4 linked regions of the Saccharomyces cerevisiae S288C genome follow. Changing the gene in region 1 together with any one later gene gives a genetic interaction. Each region holds a gene or a part of one and is shown on either strand. Other genes may lie near its edges. The genes, in order: BMT2, PIR5, CIN4 and DFP2.

What was found.
Region 2: mutations in BMT2 (region 1) and PIR5 together harm fitness more than expected from each alone (negative genetic interaction), as found in Saccharomyces cerevisiae (2 studies listed by BioGRID).
Region 3: mutations in BMT2 (region 1) and CIN4 together harm fitness more than expected from each alone (negative genetic interaction), as found in Saccharomyces cerevisiae (2 studies listed by BioGRID).
Region 4: mutations in BMT2 (region 1) and DFP2 together harm fitness more than expected from each alone (negative genetic interaction), as found in Saccharomyces cerevisiae (2 studies listed by BioGRID).

Annotation. Positions count from the first base shown.
Region 1 is NC_001134.8:526,474-529,640, reverse strand, and holds BMT2 (25S rRNA (adenine2142-N1)-methyltransferase), read left to right. Parts: upstream 1-1,602; coding exon 1,603-2,616; downstream 2,617-3,167. Other genes in the region: MAK5 (ATP-dependent RNA helicase), read right to left, coding at 1-1,324; GTPase-activating protein IRA1, read left to right, coding at 3,013-3,167. UniProt on the Saccharomyces cerevisiae protein: S-adenosyl-L-methionine-dependent methyltransferase that specifically methylates the N(1) position of adenine 2142 in 25S rRNA.
Region 2 is NC_001142.9:117,383-120,674, forward strand, and holds PIR5 (beta-1,3-glucan linked protein), read right to left. Parts: upstream 1,444-3,292; coding exon 580-1,443; downstream 1-579. Other genes in the region: FMP33 (Fmp33p), read left to right, coding at 1-405; heat shock protein HSP150, read left to right, coding at 3,067-3,292.
Region 3 is NC_001145.3:543,289-546,292, forward strand, and holds CIN4 (Arf family GTPase CIN4), read left to right. Parts: upstream 1-1,866; coding exon 1,867-2,442; downstream 2,443-3,004. Other genes in the region: DNA cross-link repair protein PSO2, read right to left, coding at 1-1,675; serine/threonine protein kinase RIM11, read left to right, coding at 2,837-3,004. UniProt on the Saccharomyces cerevisiae protein: Implicated in yeast microtubule function.
Region 4 is NC_001133.9:184,621-187,117, forward strand, and holds DFP2 (DUP240 family protein), read left to right. Parts: upstream 1-1,700; coding exon 1,701-1,925; downstream 1,926-2,497. Other genes in the region: KTD1 (DUP240 family protein), read left to right, coding at 272-976; pheromone-regulated DUP240 family protein PRM9, read left to right, coding at 2,216-2,497.

The sequences.
Region 1 (3,167 bases):
ATTCTTTGATTTGAGAGCTCACTTTTGACTCAGGATTTGTATCTATTATAACCGGCTTTGAGTTGAAGTGAATTTTGCTCATTAAGTGTTGTATTACGGCATTTAGCTCATCTTCGTTGTTTTTAAACCTTCTATCCTTAACTTGACGGGAAGAAGATAGCTTATCAAACAAGTCGATGGAGAATGTTGCAGAAAAGATCAAAGTTTGCCAAATTTTGCTACTGCCCTCGGAGTTTTCTCTGTTTTTCCTTCTTTCTACTAATAAATGTTTAATGATTTTTTCGAACTCGTCGAAATGACCGTCTTGTAACAGCCTATCAGCCTCATCAAGGATTAGCGTATTTACTTTCGAGAATCTTTTGATTAAAGTGTTGTCTTTTTCCAACAGTTCCAAAAATCTACCTGGTGTTGCGATGACAATTTGGCCACTATTATCGTACTTTAATAGACGTTGTTGTTTTTGGATAGAGAGTCCACCTGTCAAAGATAATATCGAGTACTGAGATTTCGCTAGAACAGGCTCACAGATCTTTTTTAAGTGGTCTGTGACTTGATGCGCCAGTTCTCTTGTAGGAGTAAAGATTAACGATATTGGTTTCTTGTTTTTCTGAGAGAAGTTACTGATCAGTTTCTCTACAATTGGAATACCATAGGCTAAAGTTTTACCTGAACCTGTAGAGGCTTTCCCCATGACGTCTACGCCTTGCATAATAACTGGAATAGACTTTTTTTGAATTTCTGTAGGTCTGAGAAAATTTAAATTCTGCAAGCTCTGCAAAATAGTCATTGAGAGAGGTGCAAGATTCGTCCATTCAGGTAAATTTACAGGAGAAATATCATCGATATTAATGTCTTTGTTAAAGACGTTTTCTTTCAAAACATCCTCATCCACATCCTCATCCACATCCTCACTGGGATCGGTTAACTTTGAACTCTCAATATTACCTTGCTCATCCTCGTCGGATGATGAATAAGATGCTGCACTCAACTCTCCTTCTTTAATATCGTCCAAGTTCTTGAATTCAAGGAGCTCGGACTCCGAATCTGACCCTGATTCATTTTCCACAGATTCCTGATCATCTCCGACTTTTTCCTTATTGCTATCTTTTAACACTTTTGAATCTTTTTTGGTGACGAAAGTTACTTTACCATCCACGACTTTAACGTCCACTCCGTCAATTTCTTCCAAGCCATAAAATCCACCAAAGTCATCTAAAGTGTCCGGAATATCTACTGGTTTCCAGTTCAATTTGGATTCATCTACAATTATCTCCTGTGGCTTTGTGACCGTTTTTCCTTTTTGAGGAGCCCTTTTCTTACCCATGATGGAAAAACTGATTATGCCGGTATTTGACTAAAGAATTTCTACCTGAGGTTATGATGATAATGATGGGCAGGTTGGCGAATATAACTTTTTTAGATGGAAATTCTTATAAGCTCATCGCTGGAAAAGTTTTTCAGAGAAAAAGAAAAGTACGGACTAACTAACCTTGAGGCGGGTTTGTGAGGTGAAAAAAAATATAACAATTATAATATCGATGAGCTAGCCATGACCTTGATGGCAATCTTGTATCAGCTTAGCGATACCACTAATACAGCGGAATGCATTCAAGAAAGTCGAAGAGTATTACGGGCAAGAGGAAGCAAGTAGGAAGTAACGTGACGAGAGTAATCAAGCCACAGAAGACAAGAAGGATAATAAGAAGATTCCACCATTTAATTAATAAGCGTCAATCGATATGCAAGTTTTTATGCCTTAAGGAAAACCTAGATGATTCCAACGAGGAGAAGAATGACAAAATTATCAGGTTAAGTATTAAAGGTAATGTAAGACTGGGCAAGTACTATGAAGACGGCAAATCGCAGTCCTTCAATGATGCTATGGAATCACAACTACTGAGGCTGCACTCATTAATTAAAAATGAATCCAAATCAAAGGATACTTCTGACTTGGCTGTGATGTACACATTACTTGGTTACATAATGAATCAGATTAATAAATTGGGAGGACTAGAAACTTACCAAATTGCCAGTCAAAACGGGCAATTGAAGGAACGAGGAGGAGACACGTCCAAGTTGCTCGAGAAATGGATCAGGTCCTCATTTGAAAATTGTCCTGGAGCAGTGGCATTAGAAATTGGTTCATTGAGCTCCGGAAATCGCATATCCCGTTGTGCACTTTTTAGAAATGTGGTTCGTATAGATTTAGAGGAACATGAAGGCGTTATTAAGCAGGATTTTATGGAAAGACCGCTACCGAGAAATGAAAACGACAAATTCGACCTGATATCATGCTCTCTAGTGCTAAATTTTGTCAAAAATCACAGGGATCGCGGTGCAATGTGCCATCGCATGGTCAAATTTCTCAAGCCGCAAGGCTACATCTTTATTGTTCTGCCACAAGCCTGTGTGACGCACTCAAGATACTGCGACAAAACACTGTTACAAAACCTCCTCGGCTCTATCGGGCTCATAATGCTTAATAGCCATCAAAGTAATAAGTTGTACTATTGTTTGTATCAATTGCAGGTAGTTCCACCGCAGCCGAGTAGCTTTTCCAAAAGAATCAAGGTTAACGACGGCCCTGGGTTGAACAATTTTGGTATTACCCTCTAAGCGAGCCGACACCGCCTGGAAGTTTTTCATAAAGGGATACAATATAGAAAGATGTGTAAAAACGTTAAGTAAAAGATGAGCAAATGAACAGTGTTCGAAGGAGAATAACAAGAGTTACTGCTCATATAAAACTAATATACTAAAGGTTTTCGCTTTGTATTACGATTGAAACAATTAACTGTTTTTTTTTTTTCCGCTTATTACACAGTACCGGTTTCATTTACGCCTTTGATCATTTTATTGGCATTGGGCTCATAGTAGTTTTCAGCGCGTGGTTAAGCTATTTAACGAAAGCGTATAAAGTCAAGTGATCATCTTTTGCCCTGCAAATAGAGCTTCAAACTTAACATTCTTCTTCAGCATATAACATACAACAAGATTAAGGCTCTTTCTAAAATGAATCAAAGCGATCCGCAAGACAAAAAAAATTTCCCAATGGAATACTCTTTGACCAAGCATCTTTTTTTTGATAGGCTTCTACTTGTTCTTCCCATAGAATCTAATTTGAAAACATATGCTGATGTGGAGGCAGATTCAGTTTTCAATTCGTG
Region 2 (3,292 bases), on another chromosome or scaffold:
GGTCTGGCATGCCTATATCTAGAATCAAATAGCTTGAATAAGTCCAAAGAGCAAGAAGATCCCCATGCCATCGCAGAAGACGACATTGTAAATATAGTCCATGACGCTCCCAATAGAATATTCAAGCCAGCACTTGATACCTATCAAGAGAAAGAGCTTGACTTACAAAAGAGTGACCTCCATAAAGTACTTCATTCTTTGACGTACAGTGATGTCTCTCAATTTTCGATTGTTTGGGGGTTTCTCATTCAACTTTCGAGCCTAATAGGCAATTCCACCTTAGGCAAAAAATCCATTCTTTATAAGGGAAGTGTCGTTAGTGTTTTAGGGTTCCCACCGTTGATTTATATGGCACTTAAACTTAGGATGAAACAGCTGGAAAAAGCTGGAGTGCGCTTTGAGTAATGCAGAAGGCAACATCTCCGAAAATAAAAACGATGAAGTAAATGAAAACTCGTTTGTGAATACGTAAAATTATAACGCGCCCCATACATAGTAAGACAGACTTACTTTTATACTATTATTTTAGTTATATTTTTGAAGTACAATCAAGACCTGCAAGATTATAATGTTGGTGATTCAACAATCGACGAGACCAACTGTTTGTAAATGAACGGGATTGCACTGGCCCCCGATAGACTGATCGTAAAGGTTATAGAAAGTGCCCGACAGACATTGGTAAAACACGTCATTATCACCAATAGCTAAAGTGCCATGCTTCGTTATCGACCAGCCGCCAGCGTAAATAGCGCCCGCCTGTGGAGGTGGACCATCAAATTGGAACTGTCTGTTTGCTACTATCGATCCAATTCTACCACTGGAGTCAATAAGAACACCTCCTTGTAACGTTATTGCCAAGGTGCCAGAACTTTTACAGGCTTGCACCTTGATCACTTTTTCATTATTTGGTTTCTTTGTTGGCTCTAACTTACTCTTGGAAAGCACAGAACTACTACTGGCTGAAGAAATAGTAACTTGCACTTGACCATCATGAATCTGAGAAACAGCAGTTGCGGTTGAAGTTGCTGTCGCAGTTACAGTTTTACTTGGAACAGCAATTGTGGACTTTGTGACAACATTTTTAGCTGTAGTTATTTGTAATTGACCATCGCCTATTTGTGACACAATATGTGACACTACTGGAGGCACCTTCTGCGTTGTAACTTGTATTTGGCCGTCTCCAATTTGCGAAACTGGATGAGGTAATTTTTGTGTCGTTACTTGCACTTGACCGTCATTAATTTGTGAAATGACGTTTCTTTTGACCTTACTTTCAGTAACGGTGAAAGGTATAACAGCGAGACCGAATGAGGTCCGGTACTCTGTTGTGCCACCATCCATTTTAGAGCTTGGAGTTAAAGTTGCCCAGGGTTCAGGTGGAGCGTACGCAGTTAGCGCAATACTACTTAATAGAGATGCTAGAAATGCTTTCTTGTAATGCATATTGGGGCGGTGTTCACTTCTTCAGTAAGTTGTATAGAATTAAAAAATCGAGACTAAACAGAAATTTCGAAACAAGAAGATAAGTATATGTATACAAGTTATTTTACTCTTTTAACTGTTTTCGTTTCCCCACTCTTTCGCAAAAAGAATAATTTTGTGAGTCAAAACAGTCGAATTTTCTTGCACAAAAAGTCGATATTCTTTTGTGACTCTGTGTAACTTACTTTCTACAGCTTTTGTTACTCCACTTCTCTTATATATACCCAATGATTCACTCGTAATATATCAGAGGAACGTTAGAATTTCTGTATTTTCTCAGGAATCCTACAAAATTAGAGGTGAAATTGATCAGGTTAAGGAGCAGAAGCCCACTATATAAGTAAGATGATATCAAGCCTAGTTGGATGCCTTCAGGAACGGCAAATAGGATATGTGAGCTTGGCAAAGGGGTTTTGATAGAGTAACAATAGATCCTTGCTAGCCAATGCGACGTTCCTCTGTAGTTTTTACCACAGTTTTACTTAATTTCGTGCTTTGTCCCTTTTTGGCAAAAAAGTCGGATAATGTCTTCACTATATTTGTGTTTTCGTCTTTTAGGAAAAGCGTACTTTAGTAAACTACAAATTTGAGCTGAGCTAATTTCGGATTAGTAAAAGATGCAAGGAACAGTAAAAATTAAAATAGCGATTGACCGAAATCAGTCCAAAAATTACTACAACAAGCAAATCCAATTAAAAACAGTAAAATACTTTAAGTGCATTTACCGTTACGAACAACATATGTCCTAGTTAGTATAGTAGTCTACTAAGTAGCAAAAAAGTAGAAACTCTGTCACTATACCAGCCATCAGTTCATAGTAAAACAGTAAAAATTGTAAAAACAAGCAAAAAAAAAACAAGAAGGAACAAATGCACCAAACTGTTGATCTATTCTGCAAAAAAAAGTATGGTAAATTTTTTCCATTATCCTGGCCGCTAATCCATATGGAGGTGAACTTAGAACTTGCACAAGGATGCGATGAATGATAGGCTTTGTGCTATAATTAATGCAGGCAGGTCCGCCATGTCCAACACGTTGCTGGCCGCAAAACGAGTCAATCTCACTGCTTTGCCACGCTCATTTCTCCCCCCTTCTGCCCAATTAGGCGACCCTCACAATGCACATACACATTTCCCACCTCTATTGGAAGGGGCCGTAAATGGTAATTCTTGGGAGTTATTCATATTAAGTGATCTTACTATTTCCTATTTCGGAAATTATTAAAGACAAAAAAGCTCATTAATGGCTTTCCGTCTGTAGTGATAAGTCGCCAACTCAGCCTAATTTTTCATTTCTTTACCAGATCAGGAAAACTAATAGTACAAATGAGTGTTTTCTCAAGCGGAACACCACATTTTGAGCTAAATTTAGATTTTGGTCAAAATAAGAAAGATCCTAAAAAAGGAATGGTTGGTGAAAAATTTATTAGCTTGAATGGTAGGAATCCTCGAGATATAAAAGGAACACTTGAAGTCTAACGACAATCAATTTCGATTATGTCCTTCCTTTTACCTCAAAGCTCAAAAAAATATCAATAAGAAACTCATATTCCTTTTCTAACCCTAGTACAATAATAATAATATAATGCAATACAAAAAGACTTTGGTTGCCTCTGCTTTGGCCGCTACTACATTGGCCGCCTATGCTCCATCTGAGCCTTGGTCCACTTTGACTCCAACAGCCACTTACAGCGGTGGTGTTACCGACTACGCTTCCACCTTCGGTATTGCCGTTCAACCAATCTCCACTACATCCAGCGCATCATCTGCAGCCACCACAGCCTCATCTAAGGCCAAGAGAGCTGCTTCCC
Region 3 (3,004 bases), on another chromosome or scaffold:
CATCATCGTTTTTCTTTTGATATTTTAAACCAAAATTGTGACTCCACCCGGTAGGTATAAACCCGACAACATCTTCAATGTCTTTCACATAGTCTGTTTCCAATTCTTTTAAACTTTTCAAGTAAGCTTCTATGGTTTCTTGACTTTTCAACACTCTTATAGGTACCAAATGTACGGATGATTCATGTAAATTGCTGGTGAGTAAGCTTTCGTCCCACATGTCATTTTGATTTTCGTTGTTTTGTAAAACTGTTAGCATCATTGAAAATTTAACGGAATTCGGCATAACAAATAATTTTGTTTTCAAAAATTCACATATCTTGATGGCTAGCTTCTCTTTTCCAATAGTATATGTTCCCACAAGAAATAGGACCCTGTAACGATGAGTTGTCAATGTTTTCTTTCTCTGAAAGTGAAAAAGGTTCCTTTGTGAATCTCCAAATGTTTTGTTTTTACCATGTTTTATAAGCCGTAATGTAAAATCAGCCACAGTCTCGCACACAGAATGTTGTGAAGGAAAGTTGTATCCCATAGTCATATATGTTGTATCTAAATAAACTTGGTCAATAGTTTCATTCGCTGTCTCGGCCAACCACTTCTGAATTGTCTCAATCATTTTGGCGTTGCTTCGAAAATCCCCCGTGTGAAGAATTTGTCTTATAGGCTTATCATACGAATTTGCCAGAAACTCCTGGAAAAGCATTATTATTGCACCGGGACAATGGTTAGCGTCCAACGTAACTACTGAAATGGTATCTGTTATCCAAAAGCGTTTATTCATGGGTAAAATTTGGATTTCATCCATTGGAATTTTGAATTTTAAATTTACTAATATTGCAGTGATCTTAGAACAGTAAAGTGTTTTCTTGATCGGATTCTCATCAGGATTGTTCCAAGATTTTTTGAGTCCAATATAGTGATCAGAATGAAAATGAGAAAGAAAGTACTGAGAGATAGTCTCGCTGGCCTTATAATTGAAACCATCCACAACTATTTCGTGGCCATTATTGAACTTAATTATCTTGAAACTTGGTAAAACAAGTTTTACTCTTGTTGGTTTTTTTGACGTAGCTATATCCCTCTTCGTTTTTGCAGGAGATGATGGATTAGAAATAAAGCTCCTGATATTCTTTTTAGGTGTTCCCATATTGCTCGGGTCACTGCCTATGCAAGTATCACAGTGTGTCTCTCTTTCGTACAATTCTAAATGAGAAAGGTTTTCTAGACAAATAGGACATTGAATAACTTCTGTAGAGACTTTAACATTTACTTGCTCCTCCAATTCCGTTACTATTCGATCTTCGGTCCTATTTTCTATTGCGCTGACTTCGTTATCATGCAAGCTAACTAGTTCTTCCTCGTCTGTGTCTATGGTGATTTCGACCTTTGCAGTGTCTTCAAGGCAAATGCTATTGTGATCGTCATCGTTAATAATTACTGGCTCTGTATTCTTATTGGATGTTGAACAACTGAACCTTGAGAATGAATATGAACTGGAACGGACAGGTAAGTTCGATGAAGTTGGGATGTTGAATTCTGTCAAAGTTCTCTGCCTTTTAGAGGATGTATGTGTGTTCTTATGAAGAGTTTTCCCCTCACTTGTACTGCTAGCGGTGCTACTTCGTTTCCGCTTTACTTCAGATCTTCTTATTTGCACTATAGATTTCCTTGACATAATCAACCGACCACCCAAATTAGTCACTAGTGCGTATGCTGCTTAACATGAGTTTTGACGCAGGTATTTGATTATGTTTATATTGCTATTTTACTAGTACTTTTTCAGTCCGTTTCCATGACAAAATCTAAAAAGCCATCGCACTAATTTATAAAGATAATAAGAGGGAAGCTTAAGGTGTAGAAGAATACATGGGACTACTAAGTATTATCAGGAAACAGAAGCTCAGGGACAAAGAAATTCGCTGTCTGATTCTAGGACTAGACAATTCGGGGAAGTCAACGATAGTAAACAAACTATTGCCCAAGGATGAGCAAAATAACGATGGTATAATGCCTACTGTGGGTTTTCAAATACATAGTCTGATGATAAAAGATGTGACAATATCTCTATGGGACATTGGGGGGCAACGCACATTAAGGCCATTTTGGGATAACTATTTTGATAAGACACAAGCGATGATATGGTGTATAGATGTGAGCCTTTCAATGCGGTTTGACGAAACCTTGCAAGAACTAAAAGAATTAATCAATAGAGACGAAAATCGAATAGGATACGAGTGTGCTGTTATCGTTGTGTTGAACAAGATTGATTTAGTGGAGGACAAGTCCGAGCTTCATCGAAGGTGTTTACTGGTAGAGAGCGAGTTGAAGTGTCTGTTCAAGCCGGACATCCGAATAGAGCTCGTCAAATGTAGTGGCGTTACCGGAGAAGGTATTGATAACCTGCGTGACCGTCTGGTGGAATCCTGCCATTTTACCCAATAATCGTCTAAGATGTGAGCACCATATAAAAACTTTAAATAATGTCAGTATTTATAGCGTGATAGTTCATTACCCGCCGACTGTGCGCATTCGTGGCTTCTGCTCACTCCGGATAATAATACTACCAAGGGGTTCTGTAAGGCTTGCGGGTTACAAAGCACGGGTCCATTGAAGATCTTACACAAGAAGGAGTGGTAGGAAGACCAGCAGATTATTTCCAATCGGTCGTTGCCATTGTCTTATTTCCTTTTCTTTCTGGCGCATTGCATTTTAACACCTTTTTTTCCAGAATAGCCAACCACCGACGTCTGATTCACACATTACTGGGCAAGATCTTGACATAGCATTACATTACAACACGGCAACACTAATCACGCAACGCTAGAACTCGCGCAGGATGAATATTCAAAGCAATAATTCTCCGAATCTCAGTAATAACATAGTGTCAAAACAGGTTTACTACGCCCATCCTCCACCTACGATAGACCCGAATGATCCGGTGCAGATATCTTTCCCTACCACCGAAGTAGTTGGGCATGGTTCGTTTGGTGTGGTATTTGCCACT
Region 4 (2,497 bases), on another chromosome or scaffold:
GTTTACTTTAGATGCAAATGCTATTATATATTTTGCTTTATGATCCTCGGCTTGATGCTCGCCAACGTGAGATAGCTGGTCATCACAATAGATCAGCCGGGACGCTTTTCGATCACATCGAATCCCTTCGGGACGTTGCAACAATACGTGAAAAATGCCTCAAAAATAATAAATACAATGGTGAACAACGTTAAAAAAGCATAAAACAGCTGGCTATTTTGATCAGGATAACATCTATAAGTGCCATATTAAGGCAAGATATCAATTGACCATGCAAACACCTTCAGAAAATACCGACGTAAAGATGGATACTCTCGACGAACCCAGTGCACATTTAATCGAAGAGAATGTAGCTCTTCCCGAAGACACATTCAGTTCACATCTGAGTTATGTACTTTATGAAATTGCTCATTGTAAACCGATCATGTTTATGATCATCATAATCGTGAGTTTGATCTCATTGATTGTGCTTTTTCATGATAACGACGGGTGCACTGTGATCTTAGTGATGTCCCTTATAGTAGCCTCCATGGCTTTAATGGTGGTTGCAGCATTCACATTCGGGAAAGCGATCACTGAACAGGAGTTCATGATAAAGCTTTTAGTGGAGGTGATCGCACGCAAGCCTGCGGGGAAGGAATGGGGTACTGTCGCATATAATATGAACCAATATCTATTCATGAAGAGACTATGGTATACCCCGTACTATTTCTATAGCGGCAAGAAGTGCCATGAGTTCTTCACCACTCTTATCAAGGAAGTGAATTCTGGTTCGCACTCGGATTCCTCATCGAATAGTGCCGAGGATACACAATCACCTGTCTCAGCAGGGAAGACTTCAAATGGTCTAAACAACTTTTATAGTATTAGATCAGACCCTATTTTGATGGCATATGTTTTGAAGGCAACACAAATAGAAAAGGAGGCTCAAAGTGAATACTGGAGAAAGCAATATCCTGACGCTGATTTACCTTGAAGCGGAAGCATTTTATTCACCAAGTATACTTACTTTTCTTTAAAACGAGAACAAGAATCGAATTCAAGAACATCTCGAAGCCAGAATTGAGCATCATATATTCGAGCTGTACAAACATCATGGCCTACAACTATCGTATTTGTAAGTTTTTTTAGAGGTTTTCATATTTGTTTAATAAGGGTTCTGTCAGTTTTTGTCACATTCTATTGTTGCGCTTCGCATAATGCAGCCAAGAAAATCCAAACAATAGAAAAAGAAAAAAAGGATCTCAAAAAGGGTTTGGTGTTGTAGTTATAAGAATAACTAGTGAATAAAAAAGCTGTTGTTTGGTCCGTATTACATTCGTCAAAAATTTAGTACTCAAATCGTGTATGCAATCGCAACCACAAAATAAAAATATTAGACTGGATGTGTTGAGTGGAGATGGTGCCAATTTAGTTGAGGGAAATGTGGTCCTTCCCAAAGACATGTTCAATTCGTACTTAAGTTATTCACTTTACGTGTTACGAGGGGGCTCATTGTAAGCCGATAATGATTATGTTCCTGGCATCTGTAATTTTGATTTCACTGACTAATTTCCGAGTATACCATCTCATGTCCCTTCTATCCTCTTTTTTCATCTCCGGGACAGACCGACAATAAAGCATCTAATATTAGGCTTTCGTTAGAGGTAAGCACACGCCAGCGTTCGGTGAAAGGGGAATGAAACATTATCACGTACAAGATGAATAAATATCTATTTGACCATAAAATATGGAGTACTCCTTACTACTTTTATTGCGAAGAAGATTGCCACCGTCTTTTTCTAAGTTTTATTGAGGGAAGAACTTTCGAGAAGCCAACAAGCAACGCTGAGGAAAATGTACAGGAGACTGAAGCTGGCGAATCTTTCACATTAAATCCCGGAGAAGATTTTCAAAATTGCTTTCCAAGACAGCGGATATTGTAGAACAATCTCAAGTGAAGTATTGGCAAGATATTGGTGCAATTATTTGAAAGGAAGGAGAAATATTCTGACAGTACCTTGCTAGCAAAGGGATTTACCAATCCACTGACGCTAAAATGGGGTAGTAAATTAGATAAATTGCATTCTAACGTGACTTTATATAGTGGGAAACAGATATGTAGCACACAAAACGGCATGATTATGCTTAATTGATTCCTATTTTTTAACGTAAATACTCTCCCAGAACGATCAGAAAACTTAACCCGCAACCATCTTTGCTGTGCTAACAACTTATGTCGCCTCAATACCATTTTTATTTTGTATCATTCCGGAACTTAGTATTGAATGAAAAATGCCTCCGAAGTAAAAAGCAGGTGATGAAAAGTTTCAATTGGTATAAGACAGATCGCTATTTTGATCCGCATAACATCCTTCAACACCATAGCAGAGCTATAGAGAAGACAAGATATAAACTGGGCATGCAAACATCTTCAGAAAGTACCGACGCCAAGTCGGATTTTCTCGACGAACCCAGTGCATATTTAATTGAGAAAAATGTGGCTCTTCCCAAGGAC